Sus scrofa: one gene and its partners. The protein of the gene in region 4 binds, or shares a complex with, the protein of the main gene of each other region. Links are inferred from orthologs where the notes say so. Each region holds a gene or a part of one and is shown on either strand. Other genes may lie near its edges. The genes, in order: RBL2, LIN54, LIN9, TFDP1, LIN52, E2F5 and E2F4.

Region 1 (3,500 bases), on a different chromosome or scaffold from region 4:
GTGTCCAGGACACAATCTGGCTCATAGAATACCTTGAGAATATTTGCTGAATGAATAAGCAAACCAGTCTTAAGTCTGGTCTTATATGTGAGCTTTGCCCTGGAATTAGCCACAATACCTCTGGAAGGCCTGTCAGAAGTTGCTTATTTTTCTGTGAACACCACACAATAGAAGGGAAACAGTCTCCATCATTTAAGCACCTGCATGAAGTAACTAACACATGATCCTGAAACTCAGTTTAACAGAATTTCCTTAAAGACTACAGATTCTCAGTTTCTCTAGTCTCTTAGATGAAGGTACCAATCCAGATCAATCAACATTTTCTAAAAATCTACTATATTTAGTATGTAAAGGCTGTATATTACTGGCCCATCTTTTGAAAACCAACAATTATCAGCATGATACATTTGTTTACATTTATATTAAATCCTTATCACAGACCTAATCAAAAATTTTGAAAGTTGATGTCAACAAAAATTAAAACAGTAAACACAGAGACAGACTCTCTGACATATCTGCTTCTGTATTTCTACTCTCTGGGATGGCTCAACTTACTTTGTCAAAATGCTGCTGCAAGATGTTTTTCATCTGTACCCTTTCAGCAGTCTCTGTTCCTGAACCACTGTTCAGACACCTTGAGAGAGTCCCAATTTCCTCTTCAGCATCCTCTCCAAGAAAAATCCGTTCATCTAAATTTCCAACAGATAAAACATACTCCTCATAGGCTTTATTGATGGCTTTACTATAGGAAAAAAAAATAGGCAAAATGTACACTCAAAGAACTGCCATTTCCAGTTGTTTTAGGCTACTTAATTGTTTCATTTTTTTTATTTACTAAAAATTCTAATAATTTTGTGAAAGTTAAATTTTAGTGGAATCACTATTAATTATCAAACCTGAGGAGTATAACATGCAAGCCTGCTCCACTATGTGTATCCATTGCACAGTAAGTATATTTTGGTGACAGTTTTTGAGGGTGGGTACCCTGTACCAAGCCGCCCTGTAGGTACAGCTTCTGGTAAGAAGCTTAATTATCTTTCCTAGCTGCTCCAGGCACCTTTGAACTACATCATCATTCTTTACTCATGTAGTTCCAAAAGAAGTCTTTATTTCAAAAATTATAATCCAAAAGCTTAACTATTAAAGCTTTAGAGAACATCCATAAAATTTTCTATATGTTAAAAAAATATGTGCTTAGAGTAAAGTTGACAGGAGTTTTTACAGCATCCCTATATTCCCCCACAAAATAGTCTACATTTCCAGCATACAAACAATAAAAACATGAAACTCTGAGGTCTCCTAAGTACATAATTTAAAATATTAAAATATTTTTATAACAGAAGTACTCACAAACTCTCTCCAAAATTCCCAGGTTCTAAAAAACCAGTAAGATTTTCTTCTTTTCCCTTAAGGAGCTACGACGAAAGAAAAGATCCATAAGACATCATGTTAAATAAAATCTTTGCCAAGAAGATATTTTCAAATTATGTTTTTACTACTTACAAACCTTTTTTTCATAAAGTTTCCTAATATAGGGTTTCCAGAAATGTTCCTTTATTCCCTTTGCTTCCAAAACAAGGCCATCATGAAAGGAACAGAGTTTCTCAATAACACAAGGTGGGTCGGAGGAAGGTTTAAAATCCTTAGCATGAAAGTCTTCGGATAGGCCTATGATGCAATCACAGAACAGAGATAGCACTGAATAAACCAAACTGTAATAAACTAAAATATAAATAATAGAGTCTAATCAACATGTGAGTTAGCATATGAGTATATAACAAATAGTATATAAGGACCTAATTTGACTCTATTTAAATAAACGTCAAGGAGTTCCCACTGTGGCTCAGCAGGCTAAGAACCCAACACTGTCTCTCTGAGGATGACGGTATGATCTCTAGCCTTGCTCAGTGATTTAAGGATCCAATGTTGCCTCACGTTATGGCGTAGGCTGCAGGTGCGGCTTGGACCAGTGTTGCTGGGGCTGTGGCATAAGCCTCAGCTGCAGCTCTGATTCCACCCCTAGCCTAAGAACTTCCATACTCCACAGGTACCGCCATGGAAAGAGAAAAAAATACATATATATATTTGGTATATACACCAAAAATAACAGAGGCAAAACATATCACTACTTAGAAGATTCCAATTATTTAATTATCTACCTGGTAACAGTTAAAAAAGAATTTAGTATATTGCCCTAAGATCTAAAAAACACAAAATTTTGCAAATAAGCCTTACATTCCAATAAAAAACTTTGAAAAAAATTACTATTCAAAGTACTTTTTTATACTTAGATTTAATTATATTAATTCCATATTAGATGTGTTTACTAATTTATAGCCATCCCTGCCCTAGACTCAAAGCAAGAGGATAAAATAAATAATAAATAAAAGAAGAGGGGAAAAAGATGAAAGGAAGCAGCCATACAGAAATATGAAAGGGAGTTAGGAAGAAAATAAAAGGACAGAATATGGAGAACACTAAATTTACCAAACCAGGGAGTTCCTTCGTGGCTCAGTGGGTTAAGAATCTGGTGTTGTCAATGGAATACTACTCAGACATAAAAAAGAATGACATAATGCCATTTGCAGCAACATGGATGGAACTGGAGATCTCATACTGAGTGAAATGAGCCAGAAAGACAAAGACAAATACCATATGATATCACTTATAACTGGAATCTAATATCCAGCACAAATGAACATCTCCTCAGAAAAGAAAATCATGGACTTGGAGAAGAGACTTGTGGCTGCCTGATGGGAGGGGGAGGGAGTGGGAGGGATCGGGAGCTTGGGCTTATCAGACACATTTAGAATAGATTTACAAGGAGATCCTGCTGAATAGCATTGAGAACTTTGTCTAGATACTCATGATGCAACAGAAGAAAGGGTGGGGGAAAAAATGTAATTGTAATGTATACATGTAAGGATAACCTGACCCCCTTGCTGTACAGTGGGAAAATAAAAATAATTATTAAAAAAAAAAAAAAAAGAATCTGGTGTTGTCACTACTATGGCATGGGAACTTTCACACACCATGGGTACAGCCAAAAAAAAAAAAAAATTTACAAAACCAGTAACTAATTCCACTAATATTAAACATCTACCTTGAGAGCCAGACAAGCTGAAATTCTAATTGTAACCACTCCAAAACTGACAATCACTCAGAACCCTACCAAGATATTATTCAAATAGCAGCATTATATTCTAACTCAATCAATACTTTTTAATATTAGCTTCGTAAATCATAATCTGGTCTCAGAGTATGTCATTCACAGAAATTACATACCTTAAGGCCTATTAAATGCAATGCCAAAATAATTATCATTTCCACATATCTTTTAGAGTTGAAAATTCATTTTACTCATTTCAGAACCATAACTACTCATATTCTGTAGAAAAGATTTGAAATGGAGATTCTTTCAATAAATCTGTTTTGACCTCGCCGTGTGTGTCAGGCACCAAGCTTGCCAAATACAGAAAAACACCATCAGCTTTAATGTC
Region 2 (3,500 bases), on a different chromosome or scaffold from region 4:
GGTGTAGGTCAAAGACGCGGCTCCGATCTGGCGTTGCTGTGACTGTGGTGTAGGCCGGTGGCTATAGCTCCTATTTGACCCCTAGCCTGGGCACCTCCATATGCCGCAAGAGCGGCCCTAGAAAAGACAAAAAGACAAAAATAAATAAATAAACAAAAAAGAACCCTTATAACTGGCATATCCTCCGCACAAGTCTCTTGACTGAGTGAAGTGGAGATGGCCTGACACTGCAGTGAGGGGTGAGAAGGGTCCCTGCTGGTCGTCTGCTCGCAGCGAGCCTCGGATTAGCTCGTCTCATCTCCATGTGGAGAAGAAAGTGCTGCACTGAGAAGTTTCACCTGTGGAACGCGGCTATGATGTTACCAAGTGTGAAAGGACACAAAGTCATACACTGTAGTCAAAAGAGGTTTTTAGAAACTGTATAAAAAGCTCTATCAGCATGTTAACAAGCTTTTGTCTTTGAGCAGCAAGAATTTTGAATTCTTTCCTTCTGCTTTCCTCTAGTTTTCGAAATACTATATAATGAATGAGCACTATAGTATTGTAGTGTCACTAGCTTTTTCTAATTCAAAGTGCTTTTGTACCTTAAAGATTTCTATCCAAGTGCGCAGCAGCCCAAGTCCTGCCCCGCCCTCTGTCAGAGTGGGCCGCGATTGCAGACCCATCGAGCCTGCGCCGCACTTTCCTGCTGCCGGTGGCTGCTCACAGGTGGTTGCGTTGGCAGTTAGACTGGTCGCCTGTTCGGCCCCTGTGGGCTTTGAGACTTGGCAGCACAGAGCGAGGCCTCGGGATGGGTTTGCTCTGCTTTAATTCGCAGTGGTTCAGGTCTTTATGGATGACTTGCCAAGTATTGAACAGCATCCGGTGTCCCCATTTTGTCTTGTCCTCGTGGAATAATGCCAGATTTTGGTGTGTGTCTTGTTTTTTCCAAACACTGTATGGGACTGGGGGAGGTGCTGTCCAGGAGATGGCGCTTTCAGTTCCCAGTGTTACTCATTCATTCAGCACATGTTCATGGAATGTGTGTCGGAGAAACAACCGTACATGAAACAGAACTGTGCTCAGTGAGCTCATGATGGTCATGAGGTGGGAGGACTTTCGCCGCAGAAAAACTGTCCAGTTAATGTGGAGAATTAGAATTACATCTTGCAGTTAACCAGGTAACCTCGTCTAGGTAATATGTATTTTGTGTAAAATGTTATATTTTAAAAATATGTTCAGGAGTTCCCTTCGCGGCTCAGTGGAAACGAATCTGACTGGCATCCATGAGGACTCAGGTTCGATCCCTGGCCTTGCTCAGTGGGCCAAGGATCTGGTGTTGCTGTGGCTGTGGTGTAGGCCAGTGGCTACAGCTCCGATTCAACCCCTGGCCCTAAAAAGACTAAAAAATACGTGTGTGTGTGTGTTCAGTAATAAGACCAAGTCTGACTTCTAAAAGGCTCTCTGGGGTGTGCTGTGTTCATCACACAAACACGATGCTCGCTGTGCTTGCCGAGCAGGGACCTGTGGGCCGAGTTCCAGGTGGAAGACGGCCGCCCCTTTGGCTGCTCTTCACAGCCTCCTCACCGCTGTCCCCCTCTCTCCCCCAAATCACTGCAGATTGCCGTTTACATTTGTAACCAAGGAGGTGGCGGAAGCCACGTGTAACTGCCTTCTGGCCCAGGCAGAGCAGGCGGACAAGAAGGGAGAATCAAAGGCAGCAGCCGAACGGATGATACTCGAGGAGTTCGGACGATGTCTGATGAGCGTCATCAACTCTGCAGGAAAAGCAAAACGGGACCCTTGCGCCATGAATTGCTAACTCCTGCACAAAGGACTGACTGATGGAGGGACTGTGCAGAGCACTGGAGGTGCAGGGACACGGGATTTTCTGGAAGCTAGTCCAACAATGACTGTATTGGCAATTCAGTCCTTGTGAGACCTGAAATTATAATATTGAAAGAGAAGAAATTTTTTTAAATGAGGAAATTAGTACATTTTAAGTCTAAGTTAAATCTGCTTATTTCCCTTCTAAATTGAGTTTCTCTTTATTGTATTATATAGATTTTTAATTGGCTTGGAATTCTTAAGAACTAGATGTTCTGTCCTTCTGCTTCTATTGACAAATAACATTTATAAATTACTATAATTTATAATGTATGGTGTTGTATGACTTTGTTCCAGGAGAAAAGGCCAAAGAAGCCTTGGTATTTAGCCAGTCATTCTTTGGTGCTAGATCTACAATATAAGCAGATAGACTATCTCCACTGACAAATTCTCATGACCTTTTGTGTTTAGAAAAGCACTATCTTTTTAGGAAAAATCAACTTTTTAGGGTGGATTCTGGAATAATACCCTGTTGTCACTTTAGGAATGGTCCGATGGGGAAGTAATCCATGGCACACTTTTAAAATAAAAAAGTTATGTTTGTTTTAAAAAAAAAACATACAGTGTTAAGGGACAGTAAATAATTCTCAAAGGCAGACAGTTTGTTTCTATATAAGGAGTGACGAAGAAATGCTTGGGATATTTCCATTTTCTTTCAAGGAGGCGGTATGTATTCAGAATAATAAATTGTCAGTGGTTACGGGGTACTATTAAAATGAGCCTTGCATATGAATAGAAGTAAACCTATTATGTAGTGATAACAGAACCTTACCTATTTATCGGGTAAAGATTTGGCTTGGATGGAGAAATCAATACTGAAGGTCTAAGAGATGAATTTAGAGGATTTTTCATCTATAGAAACAGCTCTCTTTACAGACTTTTGAACTAAGAGGGTTCAAACCAACGTTATGACTCTTACTTGATTTACTGAAATGGGCCTCCTAACTAACAAAGCTCTCAGAATTGTAGTGGGATTTCTTTTTTACGGGAAGCTTAACACGGCGTTATTTTTAGCCAGTGATTTGGTGAGCTAATGGTATGAGTTTCTCATATAATTACTAAGATAACCGAAATCATTTTCAGCAGTTCAGAATTCAGAAGCTTTATGAATTTAAGAGCCTGTTATAATAGGACTCTGGATTTTATGATGGGAAAAAACCATGTTGGAATTCAGGCATTTTGTTAGGTACCTTGATCCCCAGTAATTATTAGTATATGATTATTACATTTCCTACAAGGAATCTATAGTTGTATGTATTAAGTGTGTATATATGTTCATACGAACATGCAAGATATAGGCAGCAGAAACGAAGCGATCCAAAAGGACCTTCCTTTGAAGCCTGGGTTTATAAAATGACAGTGCAGTAACTTTAAATGTAGATAGTGCAGACATTCTTAGCACCTCAATCTAGTACACTTAATTAAACTTTGTATAAATGTAAATTAGTGTAAGAGGATAAAATAATATCTAATCAAGTTATTTTTCAAAAGATTACAATACCTTTTTGGTCTAAACCTAAACTTTGTTCATTTTGTACATACTCTGTGTTTAATTCTAATTGCACCTTTGTGATGTGTATTTATATACAGTGTGCATAAAATGTTTGTGAAATTTGGATTACAATTGTAGATTA
Region 3 (4,146 bases), on a different chromosome or scaffold from region 4:
CAGAATTCCAACCAGGCCTTAGGGTTCAAGTCCACCCTCTGAACGTCTGGGACAGACAGCTCCCCTTTGCCTGCCTGCTCCAACAAGCTTCCTCCTGACTAGTTTCCAGGACTCTCATCCTATCACACTCCAATCCATTTCCCATACTTTGGTTCTACAACACAGATGGAAAAATGCCAGCTCTATACTTGAAAACCCGACCTCTCCACTGCTCCAGGGCTCTTAGCAAGTCTAGCTCCTTGGCCTGGGCTGGCCTGTCTTGCTGTCATCTCAGACGACCAGCTTTTAACTTTTTAGTTTCTGGAATTTACCCCTGCTGTATTCTCATTGCTTAACTATCCCATCCCTCCCACCCCAGCCCTGGAGAGAAAGGACTGGAGCTTAATAACATTTGTTAGATGCACTGTTGAAAAGCAAGAGAGGTTGATTATTGGACACTATTATAGACAGGAATTGTGAAATCTTTCCCTGGGCTTCTTTGAAAACTGATTGAATTCTTTCAGGGTTCTCAAAACATGTCGATCAGGGTACTTCATCATCTTCAAGTGTCACTGCTGGGTTCTGTCTGTATCTTCATCAAGTCTCCTGCTTCTGGTTCTGTAATCCTCTCCCAGCTCACTGCAGCGTCTACTGTGAACGGATGAAAGAGCTCAGCAAAACAGTTTTCTGGCCGCCGAGCTCAAAGACTAACTTTATGACCTTTCAAGGTCTCCCCTCCAAGCTCCATGCACAACTCGGGTGCCGACGTTCCGGAGGGGTATCCCGGCTCGCGAGGGGCACCCGGAGCAGAGTCCCGGGCGGGCAAGCTGTGGGGCAGCCGCGGCCTGAGCCCTCCTCCCCGGCCCTCCTCCCCAGCTCTCCGGAGAAGGGAGGGATGGAGATGCCGGAGAAACGTGGGCTCGGGGAGCCGTGAAAATTTTACTTCGAGTACAGCCGCCTCCGGTAATGCGGCCAAGAACCGGGGGCTTCTCCCCGCGCCGGGCCCACAGGTGCAGCCTCCCGCCCCCCCCGCCCCCCTCAGCCGGCCGAGGCCTGCCTCCCCTCTTCCCTCCCTTTCCCCACTCGGAACAAACAGCCTGCAGTTCCCGCAGCTGCAGCTCGAGACGCGAAACGCGCGCCGGGAGCGGGGCCGGGCGGGACTCGGCAGCTCGCACCGCTCCTCCCGCTCCCCCCGCGCTCCGGCGCCGGGCCCAGGCTGGGGCGGCGCGAGACGGGCCTGGCGGTGCGGCCTCCCTCCCTTTATTGCCGGCCCGGCCGGGGGCGGGGGCGGAGGGGCGAGGCGCGGCCCTCCTCCGTGGCACCCCTTCCCCGGGCGGGCCCGGGCAGAGCCCCGCCCGCCTCAGCCCGCCGCGGCGGGAGTAGCGCGGCGCCGCGCCGCGGGCGGCGAGCTCCGCATTCGAACCTCCCTCGCAAAGACAGTCTCCGCCCCACAATGCACCGCGGCGGGCAGCCTTTGAAAAAGCGGCGCGGCTCGTTCAAGATGGCGGAGCTCGACCAGTTGCCTGACGAGAGTGAGTAGCACCTCAAAGCACCCCCCCTCCTCCCGCCGGCCGCCTGCCCCTGGGCTGCATCGGCCCGGACAGGCGGCCCTACCCTCCGCGGGGCAGGTGGGCTGACTGCCAGCCCCGCCGTGGTCCCCGAGTCCTCCCACCCCGGTGTTGCCGCCGCGTCGCCGCCTTTGTTATGGTGTCTTGAGTGTTGGTTTCTGGGGTTGTGTGAGCGCCAGGGCCGGAAACCGAAAGCCCGGGGGCCCAGCCCTTGTCGGGCGGAGGCGGTGGCTGCTCCCCTGGCCCGACGCGGGGCCCCTGGCCGCGGTGGGGGAAGAGCGGCCACCGGCCGCGGGGGCTGTTCTCGCCGCCTGCAGCGCTCGCCCGGCGCGGAGGGACGCCTGGCGGGGTTATGTAACCCGCCCGTCCGGGGGCCGGGCCGGGCTCCGGCTGGGGAGGGGGTGGTCACGGCCCTTCGTCTTGCCCTGGCCTCGGATCTTGTCCTGTCACAGTTCCTGCCGCTGCAGGCACTTGTGATCATCACCGCCTTCGCCTTCCCTCCTCCGGTGTGTCCACCCCTGGAAGTGTTTCCGTGTCAAAGGGCTGGCCCCTTCCCCTGGGACCACAGGTGGCTGTGGATCTTTCCAGAGGTAATCCAGCCTGGGTACACACGTGTTCAGGTGGCCCCCATCCCAATGACTTTCTTCTGTGCGTTTGTGTCTTAAGAATCATGGGGGTACCTTGATGCATGGATGTGACCATCCCAGCAGGCATATACAGCCCTCTCCCTGACACCCCTTGTGCATTGCCTCACTTAACCATGTTTATTCATCCTGCCATCTCAGACATGGATGTTCCCGTGTGTTTAGGAAGTAAAAGCACTAATCCGGTAGTGTAAGTGCAATAGAACTTAATTTGTAATTTACAATATCGTATAAACTATATCAAAAGGCAAATCGTTTAATTAATGACAAAAGGGTTCCTGAGCCACACTTGCTATTCAGTTTATGTATACACATCTTTTGTGAGAGTTTTAGTATAATAAAAACAAAAAGGTCGATCCCTGTTAAATCTCTCTGTGCAAGACACTTTAAAAATGAGAACTGCGTACAGCCAATTCTGTTTATTCCTTGCTGAGGTCATTATATTCTTAATGTGTTATAAAGTTGCAAGTTCAAGTTGCCAAACTGGTGAAAAGTTGTATTAAGAGAGTTCGTGTTTTAAATTTGCTCTAGGCCAGTGCTGAATTCCAATAGAACTTTCTCAGTGATGGAAATGTTCTATTTTGCCACATCCGGTAGAATAGCCACTAGCCACATGCGGCTGTGGAACTCTTCACTCGTGGCTAGAGTGACTAAGGAACTGCATTTTATTTATTTATTTATTTATTTTTGCTATTTCTTGGGCTGCTCCCGCGGCATATGGAGATTCCCAGGCTAGGGGTCCAATCGGAGCTGTAGCCACCGGCCTACACCAGAGCCACAGCAACGCGGGATCCGAGCCGCGTCTGCAACCTACACCACAGCTCACGGCAACGCCGGATCGTTAACCCACTGAGCAAGGGCAGGGACTGAACCCGCACCCTCATGGTTCCTAGTCGGATTCGTTAACTACTGCGCCACGACGGGAACTCCAGGAACTGCATTTTAAATTTCATTTGATTTTTGTTCATTTAAGTTTAAATAGTCAGGTGTGGCTCGTGGCTACTGTATTGGACGAGACACAACTACAGACTGTCAATGAATTTTACTGTTTCTTGAAGAATGCAATTGATTGTGATTCAGGATGCTCCTAAATAAAGGTGGGCCTACTAAAGACAGTGTGGTTGTTAGCTGGAAATCCTTGCTCTCTTTGTCATAGAGATATTTTATCACCTCTTGGAAGTCCCAGTCCCCCTGGGACTTCCAAGAGGTGATAAAATATCTTTTATCATTTAGAATATTTGCTCATTATCAGTAAACTGATTTAGAATATTTGCTGTCATTTAGAATATTTGCTCATTATCAGTAAACATTGATCGAGGACTTGCTATGGTTCTTTGTAGTCACTTGGGACTCATATTAGGGTTCAAATTCCAGCTACATTCTGAAACTGTATGTCATAATCGTTTATATTTGTGACATCTCTGGTGCACTGGGGCGTGTGTGGGCGTGCACCTTAGCTTGGATATTTGTCTTGTTTAGCTTGGCCACGCCTTTTGAAAGCAGGGATTGCTTTACCTGGTTTGTCAGAGTGCCACAGGTCAGGTATATATAAATAATTTATATGGAATTGAATGTAGAGTTAGAAGCATAGTTAAGGAAACTGGAGCAGTCTTGAAAAGGGAAAGTGATTTCAGTTTGATGCTACCAGTAGCAGTATATTTCTTTGCCAATTTTAGTCAAGAGGGGTAGCTTATAAATTATCCAGTAACCATTATAACATTATCAATAATAAAGGCTAGCATTTATTTATCACTGTGAACCAGATGCTGTGTAAAGCATGTCTAATGCATTTATTTATTTAATCCTCATTCCAGTTGAGGTAAGTACTCTTACTAATGAGGTAACCAACACGGTCTTCAGCCCCTATCTTTCCTCTGGGCTTCTGGGCTTAATACCTCTTGCCTATTTCACATCTCCTCGTAGGTGCCTCAGAAGCCCTTCAGACTTTATGGGTT
Region 4 (4,192 bases):
TCAATCGCCACCCTCCCCGGGCCTCTGCAGGCTGGCTGCCCCCATCAGTCCCCGAGTTTGTCCGCCTCCACTGGGACCCCCCGCCTCCCCCGAACCTAACGCCAGCCTCCCTGGGCCCAATGGCCCAGCTGGGGTCCCAGCCCACCCGCTTCAGCCAGAGGCTGTGCGAGGTGCTTGCAGGCTTTGACCTTACCCCCAAGGGCAGAGTGAGCCTCCTATGCCTGCCCCCTACCCCCCGACAATGGTCAGCTTCCCAGATTCCAATGTCACACCTGACCTAAGACCCAGCGCAGGGGGAGACGGGGCTGAGCCTGAGCGGCCCGCAGCCTCTGTCCCGCCAAGCACAGCCCTGGAGAGACCCGGTTCCAGCACACCTGCCGACCCCAACCCAGGACAGGCAAAGCCACTGCTTCTTACCTGGCTGTTCTCACCGCGACACCAACCTCCACTGTGTCACGTACCCAAGCTCAACGGGTGGTCCCCATCACCCCCACCCAGCCACCAGGTGGCCCACAGCGACCCAGCCTTCGCTGGGCTGACCTCCAGGAGTGACCTTCGGAGGAGGCCGCTCAGGAGTCTCCTGGAACCAGGCACGGGCCTGGACTGTCTTCCCATCCCCCGGATGCCCAGGGGGAGGGAGAGGACGCCTCCTCCAGGGGGTTCAGACAGGACGAGAGGCAAACTCAGCTCCCCACCTCCACCCACGATGGGAGGCATGGGGGCAGCTGCACCCCTGCTGAGCACCAGCTCCCGTCCTGCGTCTTCCGGGCGACAGTGGCAGAGAACTGGGCCTGGCCACTGACGATTAGAAGGTAACACCACCTGCACATCACACACAGACTCTGGTTTTAAGCTCAAACCCACCACACTAGCCCCGTGTTCACCCGCTCTGCCAAACTAACTGGCGCGGGGGCCCACAGCCTAAGGCCCAGCGGGTGGGGTGCCTTCCGACAGGCGCCCTGCAGAAGGTTCAAACCCGCGAGGTGACGGAGGCATCATGCCCGTTTCCTGGCGCCACCAACAGGGACGTGCTTTACCCTCCGGCTGTGTCTCAGGCAGATGCACGTCCTCAGAGCTGCATTTCCACCTCCACGCAACACACGAGTAAATAAATAAACTGCCTCTTTTCATTAATGTTTACGGAACAGCACGTCCTGAGACACGCTAAAGGAGGAGCCGGGGTTTCAGTGAATTTCACGGATGTCACCCAGGATCGAAAGAGCTGCCCAAATGATAAAAGCCGAAATCTTGGGGCCGAAAAGCCTACTTCTTAAAACAAGAGAAAAAAACTAACTCATCAAATTCTATAGCTCCCCGACAAATATAAAGCTAAAGTAGAATTTTTGCACCCCACTTCACTAGGCACCAAGTGCCACTTTTTCTGAGAAAAAAGGCTGCCAAACCCAGTGCTTAGCCTGTTACGGCTCAAAGCTGAAGTAACATCCTACACGGTACCTGCAGAGGATGCTCAGCGCCATTCCACCGAGTCCAGCGCCTGCCCAGGGTCCCCCACCAAGGCACTCAGATTTCCAAGTTAACCAGTCAGAAGAGACCCACAGATCGGGTCAGTCAAGCCCCATCGGGCATTGGCCCCCCTGGGGGCTCAGGCCTGCAAAGTACCCTCCATAAAGGCCACCGGGGCTCCTCTGGGTTCCTCACCTTTAGCGTGTTTCATGTGCTTTAAGAGTCTGAACATAAACGCTCCTGAATGTTGTGTGCTGTCATTCTGAAACAAAATCGGGAAACTACCAAGAATGTATCAGTAGGCAAACATGCGTCCAGCAGGAAGCAAACATACTTACATCTTTTGCCATGTTACCAGATCCGTGAAATCGATGCTATAGTTGTTCACCCTCCAGAGAAGAAAAATGACTTTTCTGGTAAAAAGAAGAAAGGAAAAGCAAGGAGTGAATAAGGATGAAATAAGAAGTTCACAAACCTCAGCGTTTCCCCCCAGCACCACCACCATCCCCACCGCGGCTCAGGGGAGCGGCGCCTTCCTCTCCATGCCCACACTCCACCCTCGGAGCGGGGCCGCAGAAACAGCCCCCACGCTGGGGATTTTAAAGTCATCTCAGGAATGGAAGCTCGTCCGCCACCAGAATGCCCGCCGGCCTCCCCAGACGCGCACAAAGAGCCAGCAGCGAGGCCGAGCCCGCACTGGCGGCCCGCGTTCCCACCCGGCGCAGCCCCAGTCTCTGCGCACACGCGCTCCCCACGGGCGCCCCGGCCCACCCGCGACCACCAGCCGACCCGTAACTCTGACAGGTGGGCTTCCGGGGTCCCGGCCTCCAGCCTGTCACTAGGCCGCGGCGGCCTCCCGCGAGCGCCCCCCACGCCCCGGAACCGGCAGTCGGCGGGCAGGTGGGGTCGGCGCCGCCGGGCCCCCGCACCCCGCACCCCGGACCCCGTGCGCTCGGACTCGGCCCGCCCCAACCCCCGCCGGGCGCAGACGCCGATGCGCGCGCTGCTCCGCCCGGAGGCCCCTGCAGGCCCCGACGGGGACCCTGGCCCGCGACCCCGCCGGGCCGGTCACCTGGGCGCCCACGCGGCGGCCCTGGCGCGCGGGGACCGGTCGGCGCACGCGGCGCGCGGGGGCGGGGGTCGGTCGGGGTCCGCAGGCGCCCGGCGCGTGCGCCCCTCCGGGACCCCGGCCCGCCGCACCTGGCGGGCGGGAGGTCGGCGCGCGGACAGCGGCGCGCACACGCGGGCGGGCGCGGAAGAGCGGGCGGTCCCGGCGGCGCTCGGCCGGGGTCCCTGCCCTGCCGAGGCGCCGGGGCGCGGGGCTCACCCTGCGAGCGTCGGGCGGCGTGACGTGCGCGGCGCGGTGACGTGGGCGGCGGCCCGGCTCCCGCAGCGCGCCTGCGCGCCTTTTCGCGCCTTCGGCTCCCTCCTCCTCCTCCTCCTCCTCCTCCTCCTCCTCCTCCTCCCGCTCCGCGGCCCGCGCTCGCGCTCCGGGGGGCTGGGCTGCGCCTGCGCGCGTCCGCATGTGCGCGCGTGTGTGTGCGCGCGCCGAGCAAAGATGGAGAGGAGGTCCCAGCCCCCGGGGCGCGGTGTTGCGCACGCGGGGGAGCTGGGCCGGGGATATGCGCACGTGTGCGCACGCGGCGGACAGGGACTAGGGGTGCACGTGCGTATATAAGCACCTGGGGAGGGGGACAGAAGCTGAGGAGGTGTGCACCTGTGCATGTACACGGGTGTGTGTGCATCCGGGGAATGGGGGGTAGGAGTGTGTATACACGTGTGGGCACATGAGGAACAGGGGCAAAGTGTGCAGGTGAGTGTGTATGCACAGAGGTCTGGAGCCAGTGTGCAAGTGTGTGTATGTGCGCGCGCGTACCCAGGGGCTAGAGATGCATTCATGGGTGTGCACACGGAGAATGGGTTGAGTGTGTGCGTATGCACGTACAGAAGTGCGCACATGGGGGGGCGAGTGTGTGCACAGTGTGTATACGTATTCGAGAATAAGAGAGGTTGGGTGCCCATGGGCGTGTAGGGGCGGGTGCATGTGTAGGTGCGCAAGGAGAGGAGGCCAGGCGTGTGCGTGTGTAGTTGCACCGAGGCGAGGGCCGTGTGCACCCACAGCGCAGAGAGCCCTGTCCACCTGCTGCTCCTGTTCTGAGCTGCCAGCGGCCTCCGTGCCCACGCCCAGCCTCCAGCCAGCCTCAGAGCATTCTCAGTGCAGGAGAGTTGGCTCCTCATCACTGGGTGGGCTGGACCTAGTGGACGCTGAGCCTCGGAGACTCGTCCCCTCTGGGCGCCCCCGCAAGCACCAAGGCCCCAGAGGGCATGGGCTCTGGTTCCAGAGACGCTGCGGAGGTCGGGAGGGGCCTGGGAGTCAAGTCCGAAGTTCATGAGCACAGAGCAAAGGCCTCTCATCTTGCAGGTTTCCACCCGGCCGCGGACGGTTTCCCAATTTAACCGCTTTTATGCTGATCACGCCCACTCTGCTTCTCCAGTAAAGCCCCTCCCGGCCTAAGACTGTTCACACCTTAGCGCTGGTTTCTTGAAGGGAGCAGAGATATTCGCGTTCTTTCTCTTCAGTACGCGGCACTCAGAGAAACCGGGATCCAGGAGGAAGAGGGTAAATAAGAGGCTTCAGAGGACGGACCTACCTGCCCTGCCCGCAGGCGCAACACCTTGCTTCCCGGTGGTACAGTGTGCACAGCGTCCCACTGGGCAGCAGGGTCCC
Region 5 (3,500 bases), on a different chromosome or scaffold from region 4:
TCTACCCCTAGAATTTTGATTTATGTGAATAAAATCCTTCTTTTGCTTAAGATTGTTTGATTTGACATTCTATCGCTTAAAACTAAGAGTTACCAATATGCTTTCACTATACAAAGAACAATAACTTGTAATCTAGTAAACTCTGTAATTACTTTGACACTCTACTATAAAAGGCACACTTTAGATTATAGTGGCTTCTTACCTTGAGAACATCTAATAAAGATACTAAAGTTACTTTCTGAATTACACCAGAGCTCATCATTAAATATACAACATGCAACCCTGAATAAATGGATCTGGGTACTCACACTCATCCAGCCCCAACTGATAGGCTAGGTTCTGAAGGCCTCGTACCTTCTCCATCAAATTAGCTGTGGTGAGGCTCCCCAGTTCTGAAACAGAATCATTTATTTCAATACCATTTCTTTCCACTGCTTCTAGTAACAACGCATGCGGGTTGCAAATCCTTGTTATAAAAATTTCAAGCTTAATTCCTATGAAATAAGTAGAAAATGGATCCATATCTCTTCTCAACAAATCACATCACCACTACCCCCAGCACAGACGTGCACACACACAAAAACGCACAAATCAAATCAGTGAATTTTTCCACCACTGCAAAATGCCTCAGATAAGCTTACCCACTTAATGAGAAGAGAATTAACGTAAACACAACAACAAATTACATGTTTTATCCTGAGGATCTTTTTGTAACATTCATTTTGCGTATCATACAAAATGAATATATGGTTAAAATTTGAAAACTTGTGATCTGACATAGCATTGAGACAGCAAACAGACAGATCTCTGTCTCACAAAAAGGACACTATCTCAGCTGTCATTTATAAGTCCACATTACTCCAAGTGACAATAAAACACTTATTCTTTCCTATTTCTCCAGGTTTAGAAAACAGGCTAAATATTAATCCAAATTTTACCTTCAAATCAAATTCCCATAAAAAAATTTTTAATTTTACCAGATAAAAAGACAGTAAACTTAAAATTTTATCTTCCCAGATTTTCATTTAAACAGAACTTAATTCCTTTTAAGTTTAGGACATACATGAACTTGCATGAAACAGAATGCTCTGATCCCTTATCAAACTTTAAAGCTTCCTTAGAAAATACATGTTGATGGAATATTATATAAATGTCTGTTTGGAACATTAGAACAATGAACCCAAGATGCCCTTGAGACTTAATTTTTCCAGATGGAGGAAGGGCTCTGCTTTTAAGCATTTCATGCAGAACAATGAATTATTTCTGAAGTCAAATAAAGGTGTTATTTTCTCTCACTCATCATGCCATACTTATTATCTATATCTGGCATAAGTAGACTTTGTGAATCTGTTCAGCTGCTTAAATAGCTTAAGAACCCCAGATTTTTTACCTCAATTTCATTCTATTACTTCACAACCATCATGAATCTTATCACTACGAGGATGATAAAAAAAATTAAGTAAAGTAGAGCAAAATCAAGGAAAATTAATGTTTTTTAATTTAAATTTCTACTTTGTGATTTAGTCCCAAGCCATTTATCAAACAATGATATTCACTACTTACAGTATTCTCTATGGGAGAAATTGATGAGATAGAAAGAACTAAAAGACAGGTCTTAACCCACTAAGGGGTTGTCAATTAATAGTACTCATAACAATATATGACAGCAAATCCTAAATAAGGCACTTGCATTATAACAGTAAGAGACTAGCTTTAAAAGATCCGAGTTTAGGAGTTCCCATCGTGGTTCAGTGGTTAACGAATCCGACTAGGAACCATGAGGTTGCAGGTTCTACCCTGGCCTCACTCAGAGCGTTAAGGATCCGGCGTTGCCGTAAGCTGTGGTATAGGCTGCAGACGCGGCTCAGATCTGGCACTGCTGTGGCTCTGGCGGAGGCCGGCGGCTACAGCTCTGATTAGACCCCTAGCCTGGGAACTTCCATATGCTGCTGGTGCGGCCCTGGAAAACACAAAGAGACCAAAAAAAAAAAAAGTTCAGAGTTTAAATTTTAACTCTTTCTATAATAAAGCTTGGTTAACTTCTGAACCTTAGACATCATATCTAACTCACAGGGTCTTTATGAGAATTAAATAAGAAATTTTATGTGAGAGCTTATAGTTAACGTTAATTTTTTCTTTTTTTTTTTCTTTTTAGGGCCACACTCGAGGCATATGGAGGTTCCCAGGCTAGGGTTGAATCGGAGCTGCAGCTGCAGGCCTCTGCCACAGCAACGCAGGATCCGATATGAATCTGTGATCTACACCACAGCTCACAGCAATGCCAGATCCTTAACACACTGAGCGAGGCTGGGGATCGAACCCACAACTTCATGGTTCCTAGTTGGATTTGTTTCCACTGAGCCAAGATGGGAACTCCAACGCTAAGTATTATACAAAATAAAATTAACATTAAAGGAATTTAGCAGCAGAAAAAATCAGTATGGTTGGGTCTTGAATTATTTCTACACATGGAAAAGTAGAGAAAGGCATTTAGATATGAAGAACCATGAATAAGGATGGTTAAATAGGCAATTTGAAGCCAAAAATACTTGTAAGGGAATCGTGAAAGAAAAACTGGAAAGGTGGTTTGCACAGGAGCATAAAAGTCAGGTTGAAGGTTAGAGGTCACCAGCTTTGCTTACCTTTCAACATGTCAATGTCATCGCGTTCTATTTCAGCCATCCATTTGGGTGGGGAGCTAGTAATGGGCTGTCAGAAAATAAGAATACATCTATTCAGACATGTGCAATGTATAGAGATCCTACTTTTCCTTCTTTTTTTTTTTTTTGCTTTTTAGGGCCGTACCCTGGTATGTGGAAGTCCCAGGCTAGGGGTCAGATCAGAGCTACAGCTGCCAGCCTACACCAGAGCAACACAGGATCCAACCTACATCACAGCTCGTGGCAACACCGGATCCTTAATCCAATGAGCAAGGCCAGGGATTGAACCTGCATTTTCACGGATAATAGTCGGATTCATTTCCACTGCACCACGACGGAAACTCTCTACTCTTCTTTCTTGTAAGAAAAGGAGGTTGTCACACAGTCCTCAGGTTGTTTGAAAATACCAGCAAGTTATAATTTCAAAGAACCAGATTTCTCCAGATTCAGCTCTGACCTACAAATAGAACCCTTACAAAATAATACTACTGATCTTTAAAAGCTGGTTTTAAAGTAATGATCTTGAAAGATTTAGGTCTGAATACTGTTACTAGTGTACGAAAAATAGGTAAGTAGAGCCATGAAAGAAATTATTTGAGGAGTTCCCGTCGTGGCTCAGTGGTTAACAAATCCGACTAGGAACCATGAGGTTGCAGGTTCCATCCCTGGCCTTGCTCAGTGGGTTAAGGATCCAGCGTTGCCCTGAGCTGTGCTATAGGTCACAGACGCAGCTCGGATCCCTCGTTGCCGTGGCTCTGGCGGAGGCCGGCGGCTACAGCTCTGATTGGACCCCTAGCCTGGGAACCCCTATATGCCATGGGAGCGGCCCAAGAAATGGCA
Region 6 (4,042 bases), on a different chromosome or scaffold from region 4:
TGCAATATAAGATTTTATTATGTACAAACATATGTAAATAAATGAAATATATATTTGTATATATGTGAAAAAGAATGAAAAACTGGTCTCATTTACTGGACTGAAGTAAAAAAATCATTAATACAATGAGACCTAATATTACTGCAGAAACCTCTGAACTTTTAGGAAAATTCCAGGATGAATGAAACAATGTTATCAGGAAATATTAAACTTTACTTCCCACTCACTGCCTCTGTAAACTTCTGGACAGCAAAATCTGGCCACAGATGAAACAGGAGGAAGCCAAAGATTTAGGGGAAAGCAAGGACAAATTTCCATCATATTCCAAGGCAAGCTGTGAGAAAAGCTCTCAAAAGTCAGCCCCTCAGAATTCAGTTGCATCTGGAAAACCCCAAACTTCCCTGATTCTTTATTGGAGTCACAGGCTTTTTTTTTTTTTTTTTTTGGTTGCACCCATAGCATGTAGAAGTTCCCGGGGCAGGGGTCAAACCCACGCTACAGCAGTGACCCAAGCCTCAGCAGCAACAACACCAGATCTTGAACCCACTGAACCACAAGGGAACTCCCTGAATTTTAGCCTTTTTTTTTTTTTTTTTTGGTCTTTTTATCTTTTATGCATCTGCAGCATATGGAGGTTCCCAGGTTAGGGGTACAAATAGGAACTGCAGCCACCGGCCTACCCCAGAGCCACAGCAACATGGGATCCAAGCTGCATCTGCCACCTACACCACAGCTCACATCAACACTGGATCCTTAACCTAATTAATCCACTGAGCAAGGCCAGGGATCCAACCCTTGACCTCATGGAAACTAGTCGGATCTCCTAACCCCTGATCTACGATGGGAACTCCCTAGATTTTCAAATAGTAGTTTGCAAGGTAGGTTTGGAAACATCCCTGTCTTTCAAAGATGACCTCATGACTTCCTATGAAATTCTTTAAACAAAAATCCATTTTAGTTCACAATTTAAATACATACATGTCATAAAGCACTTTAAGGGAGAGAGGGAAGGAGAGGGAGTGGGGAAAAAAAGAAAACAAGTATTTCTAAAAGTGCAGGAAAATTTCAGGAGTAATACTTCAAAAAAAATAGTAGAAACTTTTCCCCAAATGCAAAATATGTGCATCGTGCCTTATTTGTATGAAGTAGAACAATTTCGGTAATTCAGGAGTCATTTACGCAACACTTACTACACCCAGGGAAAGGAGAGGACATTCAAAGACATACCTCACCTCCCAGACTGTCCTCAGATGAGAACCTCTAGCAAAGGACATCAAATTGGCCTCTGTGAGTCTTAGTCTCAGGTCAAGGAGTACTAGAAGATGCTGTCCTACTCAGACGGTGCTTCTGTTACCCTAAGCATAGCCTTGAGGATTGCAGTCATCCTCTCAAGCTAGGTACGGTGGTCCTGGCACTTCCATAGGTGCTGGGACCAATTCTCAGTGTTAACCCCAGATTTAGGGGTAGTGCCTAGGAGGCGTCTACAGTAATTACTGATTCATTAGTAATTTTTGTTTGTTTTTAAAGCTTTAGTTTTTACTTAAACATGGTGCGCTGGTTGAATTTTAATTCAAGGGATCACATCTCTTGTTTCTCAGCGCTATGGAATCCTTCCAAACCCTGACTGGAACGGTTAGGTCATTTTATTTAACGGAACGGCTTTTGATGTATGTTGTGGTTTGAAAATTCCGAACTCAACTGCAGTAAAAGATCTCATGAAATAGGAGTTTGCTGAGCGCTTCTCCTTGCATCAAAGTTATAAAACATCCCCTTTCCGTGTGACGGCAAATCTCATTTTTAGAAATCTATATCAGATCCTTCTAAGTCACAAATCAAATACCCCTCTTAGTCACCAAAATGATAAAAAGAAATATACAAGGAAGAAGTTTTTTCTTTTAATTACTACCATTATTTTAACAGGGAGGGCTATGAAGAGTTCACTTTATTTTGTTTCATCCAGGAGAGGTGGCAAAACTGGGTTTTGTTTGCTTATTTGCTGGCTTGTTTAAACAACTTGATCACGGTCTAAGCTAGAATCGCCTATTAAAACCAACAATGCCCAACAGGAAAAAATCAATCCCGACGGTGTCCTGGGCAAAGCGCCCAGATACCCTCTGTGCCTCTGCCACAGGTGGACGCGGAGCAGCAAGGGCACTCAGTCGTCCTCGGGTCTCCGCGCCCCGAGACAGAAGCCACGCGCGCGCGCTGGAGCTCCTGGGCTCTTTGTCGAGAGCCCGGCGCGGCGCCGGGCCCCATTGGTTAAGCGGCTGGTCCGGGCCATCCTGGTCCCTCGTCCCTCCCCCCCATCCCGAAGTCCAGGGCCTGGGCGCAGGCCACGTGGCCACTGCGCTCAGGTCGTGAGATCCCCGCGCGGAGCGTTCACACCACGTCCCCCGACCCACGCGGCAAGGGGATGGGCTTCTCCCCCGGCCGCAGGATCTGAAGTCCGCCCCCTCCCCGCCTCCTACGCTCACCGCTTTGAGATCCAGGACGCCGTCCTTGGCCTCCTGCAGCAGCGACACGAACTTGGTGGTAAGCAGCCCCAGGCTCTTCTCGTGCCTGCTGCTGCCGCCCCCGCCGCCCCCGAGTGGCTGCTGCGGGGGTGGGGGCTGCGCCTGGGACGGCGGCGGCTGCGGCCGCTGGCCCTGCCCTTGGCCCTCCGGTGCCGGCTGCCCAGAGCTTGCGGGCTCGGCCGCCGCCATCGCGTCCCCGCACCGCAGTGGTGCGGACCTCGCGCTCGGCCACCTGCCGGGTCTGCTCCGGGCCACCTCTATCGCCGCCCCTGCAGCCGCCGCCGGCCGAGGGCGGGACGAAGGGTTGCGGGCGCTTGCAAACAACAGGTGCGCGGGGCCCACCGGCCTCTGGGCCGCTCGGCTTGCCGGGCCTCCGCCCCCTCCCCGAGCCCTGGACCCAAGAAGGAAGCCCACGACTGAGGGGAGGGGGAGTGGAAGCGAGGAGAAGGGGCGGCGAGGGGTGGGGACCTGAGTTTAAATGGCAGGAAGTGACGCCGCGGCCCGCCGTTGCTTGGAAACGCATTTTTCTGTAGGAAGGAGGGGAGAGCAGAAGGGAGCGTCGAGGAGTGGGTTTCAGCTCGCCTCTCTGCTGTTGGAGTGCCACCCCCAGGACCAGCGACCTCCCGCTACAACGCTTGGAGGAAAAAAATGAAACGAAAACACTCTGCTTGGTGGCCATCGATTTCTGACCTGCTGGATCTCTACAACCTCACGGGACTAGCCGTCCGCTGAATACCTTCATTGGGGATTTCTGCTGTCTTGGTCCTTTCCAACTTTAGAATCCTTTGCAAGTATTTCAATGCCTCTGATCAAGTGCAAGGTTTTATTCCGATCATCTTTTTAGATTCGGGATATGGGAAAAGCAGAATAATGGAGCAGTATAGGTAGAGGTACTGAGGTGTAGAGGGAGAGGCTGTGACTCGCCCAAAGACTCGCCACTGGACTCCAGATTTCCTTCATTTAAAATTGTTCTTAATACCGTATTGCAACCAAGCTATGTAGTATTATTTAGAATATTAGGCAGTCGTAAGATTTTTATGTTTTTTGATAGCCCAAACTATCAAAATGAGAAATGAGATAACGCAGATCTGAGTAAAAGTTTTTTTCTCATTCGATTACACACTCTTGAGGGTTGGGAGAAATTCTAAATAAATTGGTATCACACGCAACACTTTTAATATAGTAGATGCCCAATAAATATTAGGGGAATGAAAATTCCATATGATGATAATTCATCAAGAAAGTCTCATGCAAGACATATTTCTAATTTAAAATAACAGTAAACTAGCAAAAAAGGGTCACTGGAATGAAGTAAAACAGTAACATTAGAGAGTAAAATTGGACACACCATTTAAGTTTAATATTTGTTTCCAATTCATAGGACAGAACTTTATGAATAACCAGATAGACTTTTTTTTTTTTTTTCTCCTCTTCACCAGGGGCATATGGAAGTTCCCAAGCTAGGGGTCTAATTGGAGCTGCAGCTGCCAGCCTATGACACAGCAACACTGGATCCAAGCTTGGACTGT
Region 7 (2,282 bases), on a different chromosome or scaffold from region 4:
TTCCTGCAGGACTCACGCCTCTGTCTTCTTCAGTGAGATTTTTGATGTTACTTTCCTGGGAGTGGTTGGCAGTGCCTAATTCTCCTTGGGCCCAGGAACCAGGGCTATAGTCATCTTGGCTGTGGGTTCTAGAACAGCCAGCTTCGATATCCTGCTTCCTGTTCCCAAGTGACTGGGTTTGGGGTGTGTGGTTGCAGTGAGTGGTGGCCCTGGAACTGATAGCAAGGACAGTGGTGAGCTGGGCTCCCTCCCACTGGGCCCGACAGCGCTGGATACCCGGCCGCTGCAGTCCTCTGCCCTGTTGGACAGCAGCAGCAGCAGCAGCAGCAGCAATAGCAGTTCATCCGGACCCAACCCTTCTACCTCCTTTGAGCCCATCAAGGCAGACCCCACAGGCGGTGAGTACTTGTCCCCTTGGGAGCAGGGAGAACCCAGCCTCAGACAGTCCTAGGTCAGAAACAGAACTGGGCCTGGAACGCAGCTCTCCTAACTCCTCAGCCAAAGCTGGCTGGCCCCACAGCCAACCCCCTGCCATCCACCAGAACTCTGCCAGCCAGAGCGCCCCTCTGCCCGCTTCCTGGGCTGACCCAGAACGCCCTGGCCCTCCCCAAGCCCTGTCTACCACCTCCAGGACTCAGGACAGCGTGAGCACTCTCCTGGGGAAAGGGCTGCAATGTGGCCTCAGGCCCCACAGGTGGGCAGTGTCTTCTTCAGAATGGGAATGCCATCTGCCTGGTGTCTCCTTTCCATCTTGTGACTTGAGTGCTTTTTCCAGGACTCATTCCCCTTAGGCCCACAAGCACCACTAAGTCTCCCTCATTAAATGACACAGTGTCTGTCCCCTGTGTCCCCCTCTCTTATCTTCCCTGTATCCTCTCTGTCTGGACTTCCTGAAAAAGTTATCTCCACTCTGTCCCATATCCAGGTCCCCCAGTCAGCTGGAGGATGCAGCAGTCAGGACCCCCACCCCCCCTGCCACGCCAGTGCTGCTAGTCCTGATGGCCAGTGCTGGCGGGTTTTGGGGCTGATTTGCTCTGGTGCTCTCTTGCTCTGTCTTGATGTGCCTTTTCGCCTTTGCCATTTATGATGTCAGCTCTTGGTTCTTGGCTCCTAACTGGCTTCTTCTTGTAACTTCTCTCTGGCATTCCTTTAAATCTGGCTTCTCAGAGTCCATCCCTCTGGAAGGCCCCAGTTCTGAGTAGATGGATTCCCAGCATCTGTGTATAGGTTTCTTGCCTAAAAACTTTACTTCCTGTGTCCACGTGCCTTCCTGTGCACAGCCGACAGGCACCTCACTCCCATGTGTGCTCAGCCGAAACTCGCTTTTCTTTTCCTTTTTTTTTTAATACTGATTTTTATTTTTTCCATTATAGCTGATTGGGAGTGTTCTCTCAGTTTTCTACTGTGCAGCAAGGTGACCCAGTCACTCTTAGATGTATACATTCTTTTTTCTCACATTGTCATGCTCCATCATAAGTGACCAGACATAGTTCCCAGTGCCATACAGCAGGATCTCATTGCTTATCCGTTCCAAAGGCAATAGTTTGCATCTGTTAACCCCAAATTCCCAGTCCATTCCACTCCCTCCCCCTCCCCCTTGGCAACCACAAGTCTGTTCTCCAAGTCCGTGAATTTCTTTTCTGTGGAAAAATTTCATTTGTACTGCTCATTAGATTCCAGATATATGATATCGTATGGTATTTGTCTTTCTGACTTACTTCACTTAGTATGCATCTCTAGTTCCATCCATGTTGCTGCAAATGGTATTATTTTGTTCTTTTTGATGGCTGAGTAGTATTCCATTGTGTATAAGTACCATGTCTTCTTAATCCAATCATCTGTCGATGGACATTTGGGTTGTTTCCATGTCTTGGCTGATGTGAATAGAGCTGCAATGAACCGAAACTTGCTTTTCCACCTCTGTGCGTACTCGACCATTGGCTCTAGCCACCCAGGCCTGACACTTGGGTGTCACCTCAACTCTGTCTCCTCCTCTGTCCTTCTCTTTCCCCCCATCCCACATCAGCTAATGAGTTTTCTCCCAGACACCCCCATTGATGGCCTCCTGTATCCTCAGCATTCAGGATCACTGCAGCCACCGCTCTCCTAAGTCCCTCAGCATCATTTTTACTCCAACAAGGATCTGTCACAAACAGCTTGACTGCGGTGTTTCTTTGTTACAAAAGTACCTTTAACAGCTTCCTAAGGTCTGGTGGATAAAACCAGAGCCCTTAAACTGGCATGTGAAATCCAGCTCCAGCGCTTCTTTCCCGTTTCCCATG

The links.
Region 1: TFDP1 (region 4) and RBL2 share a complex: the UniProt entries of both Homo sapiens proteins name them as parts of the DREAM complex. The link is inferred for Sus scrofa from reciprocal best matches to the Homo sapiens genes TFDP1 and RBL2.
Region 2: TFDP1 (region 4) and LIN54 share a complex: the UniProt entries of both Homo sapiens proteins name them as parts of the DREAM complex. The link is inferred for Sus scrofa from reciprocal best matches to the Homo sapiens genes TFDP1 and LIN54.
Region 3: TFDP1 (region 4) and LIN9 share a complex: the UniProt entries of both Homo sapiens proteins name them as parts of the DREAM complex. The link is inferred for Sus scrofa from reciprocal best matches to the Homo sapiens genes TFDP1 and LIN9.
Region 5: TFDP1 (region 4) and LIN52 share a complex: the UniProt entries of both Homo sapiens proteins name them as parts of the DREAM complex. The link is inferred for Sus scrofa from reciprocal best matches to the Homo sapiens genes TFDP1 and LIN52.
Region 6: the proteins of TFDP1 (region 4) and E2F5 are in contact, whole or in part, in a crystal structure (PDB 5TUV), measured with the Homo sapiens proteins. The link is inferred for Sus scrofa from reciprocal best matches to the Homo sapiens genes TFDP1 and E2F5. Residues at the interface, in NP_009042.1 of Homo sapiens: Glu201, Cys202, Leu205, Glu208, Arg209, Arg212, Leu213, Arg215, Ile216, Lys219, Gln220, Leu223, Leu226, Ile227, Gln230, Phe233, Leu236, Val237, Arg239, Asn240, Arg241, Arg249, Pro253, Ser255, Val256, Ile257, His258, Leu259, Pro260, Phe261; in NP_001942.2 of Homo sapiens: Val126, Arg129, Leu130, Lys134, Glu136, Ile137, Leu140, Glu141, Glu144, Leu147, Asp148, Gln150, Lys151, Leu154, Gln155, Ser157, Ile158, Val161, Met162, Ile166, Asn167, Asn168, Arg169, Phe170, Ser171, Tyr172, Val173, Thr174, His175, Asp177.
Region 7: TFDP1 (region 4) and E2F4 share a complex: the UniProt entries of both Homo sapiens proteins name them as parts of the DREAM complex. The link is inferred for Sus scrofa from reciprocal best matches to the Homo sapiens genes TFDP1 and E2F4.

Annotation. Positions count from the first base shown.
Region 1 is NC_010448.4:31,785,018-31,788,517, forward strand, and holds part of RBL2 (retinoblastoma-like protein 2), read right to left. Parts: intron 1,669-3,500; coding exon 1,508-1,668; intron 1,416-1,507; coding exon 1,351-1,415; intron 743-1,350; coding exon 556-742; intron 1-555. UniProt on the Homo sapiens protein: Key regulator of entry into cell division. Directly involved in heterochromatin formation by maintaining overall chromatin structure and, in particular, that of constitutive heterochromatin by stabilizing histone methylation.
Region 2 is NC_010450.4:135,394,384-135,397,883, forward strand, and holds part of LIN54 (protein lin-54 homolog), read left to right. Parts: exon of another isoform or gene 1-1,599; coding exon 1,600-1,801; 3' UTR 1,802-3,500. UniProt on the Homo sapiens protein: Component of the DREAM complex, a multiprotein complex that can both act as a transcription activator or repressor depending on the context. In G0 phase, the complex binds to more than 800 promoters and is required for repression of E2F target genes.
Region 3 is NC_010452.4:14,181,228-14,185,373, reverse strand, and holds the start of LIN9 (protein lin-9 homolog), read left to right. Parts: upstream 1-1,346; 5' UTR 1,347-1,432; coding exon 1,433-1,511; intron 1,512-4,146. UniProt on the Homo sapiens protein: Acts as a tumor suppressor. Inhibits DNA synthesis. Its ability to inhibit oncogenic transformation is mediated through its association with RB1. Plays a role in the expression of genes required for the G1/S transition.
Region 4 is NC_010453.5:78,754,130-78,758,321, reverse strand, and holds the start of TFDP1 (transcription factor Dp-1), read right to left. Parts: upstream 2,801-4,192; 5' UTR 2,665-2,800; intron 1,878-2,664; 5' UTR 1,815-1,877; coding exon of another isoform or gene 1,803-1,814; 5' UTR 1-1,802. UniProt on the Homo sapiens protein: Can stimulate E2F-dependent transcription.
Region 5 is NC_010449.5:97,392,020-97,395,519, reverse strand, and holds part of LIN52 (protein lin-52 homolog), read right to left. Parts: intron 2,710-3,500; coding exon 2,643-2,709; intron 393-2,642; coding exon 309-392; intron 1-308.
Region 6 is NC_010446.5:51,509,818-51,513,859, forward strand, and holds the start of E2F5 (transcription factor E2F5), read right to left. Parts: upstream 2,801-4,042; 5' UTR 2,703-2,800; coding exon 2,475-2,702; intron 1-2,474.
Region 7 is NC_010448.4:27,837,356-27,839,637, forward strand, and holds part of E2F4 (transcription factor E2F4), read left to right. Parts: intron 1-197; coding exon 198-398; intron 399-2,282. UniProt on the Homo sapiens protein: Transcription activator that binds DNA cooperatively with DP proteins through the E2 recognition site, 5'-TTTC[CG]CGC-3' found in the promoter region of a number of genes whose products are involved in cell cycle regulation or in DNA replication.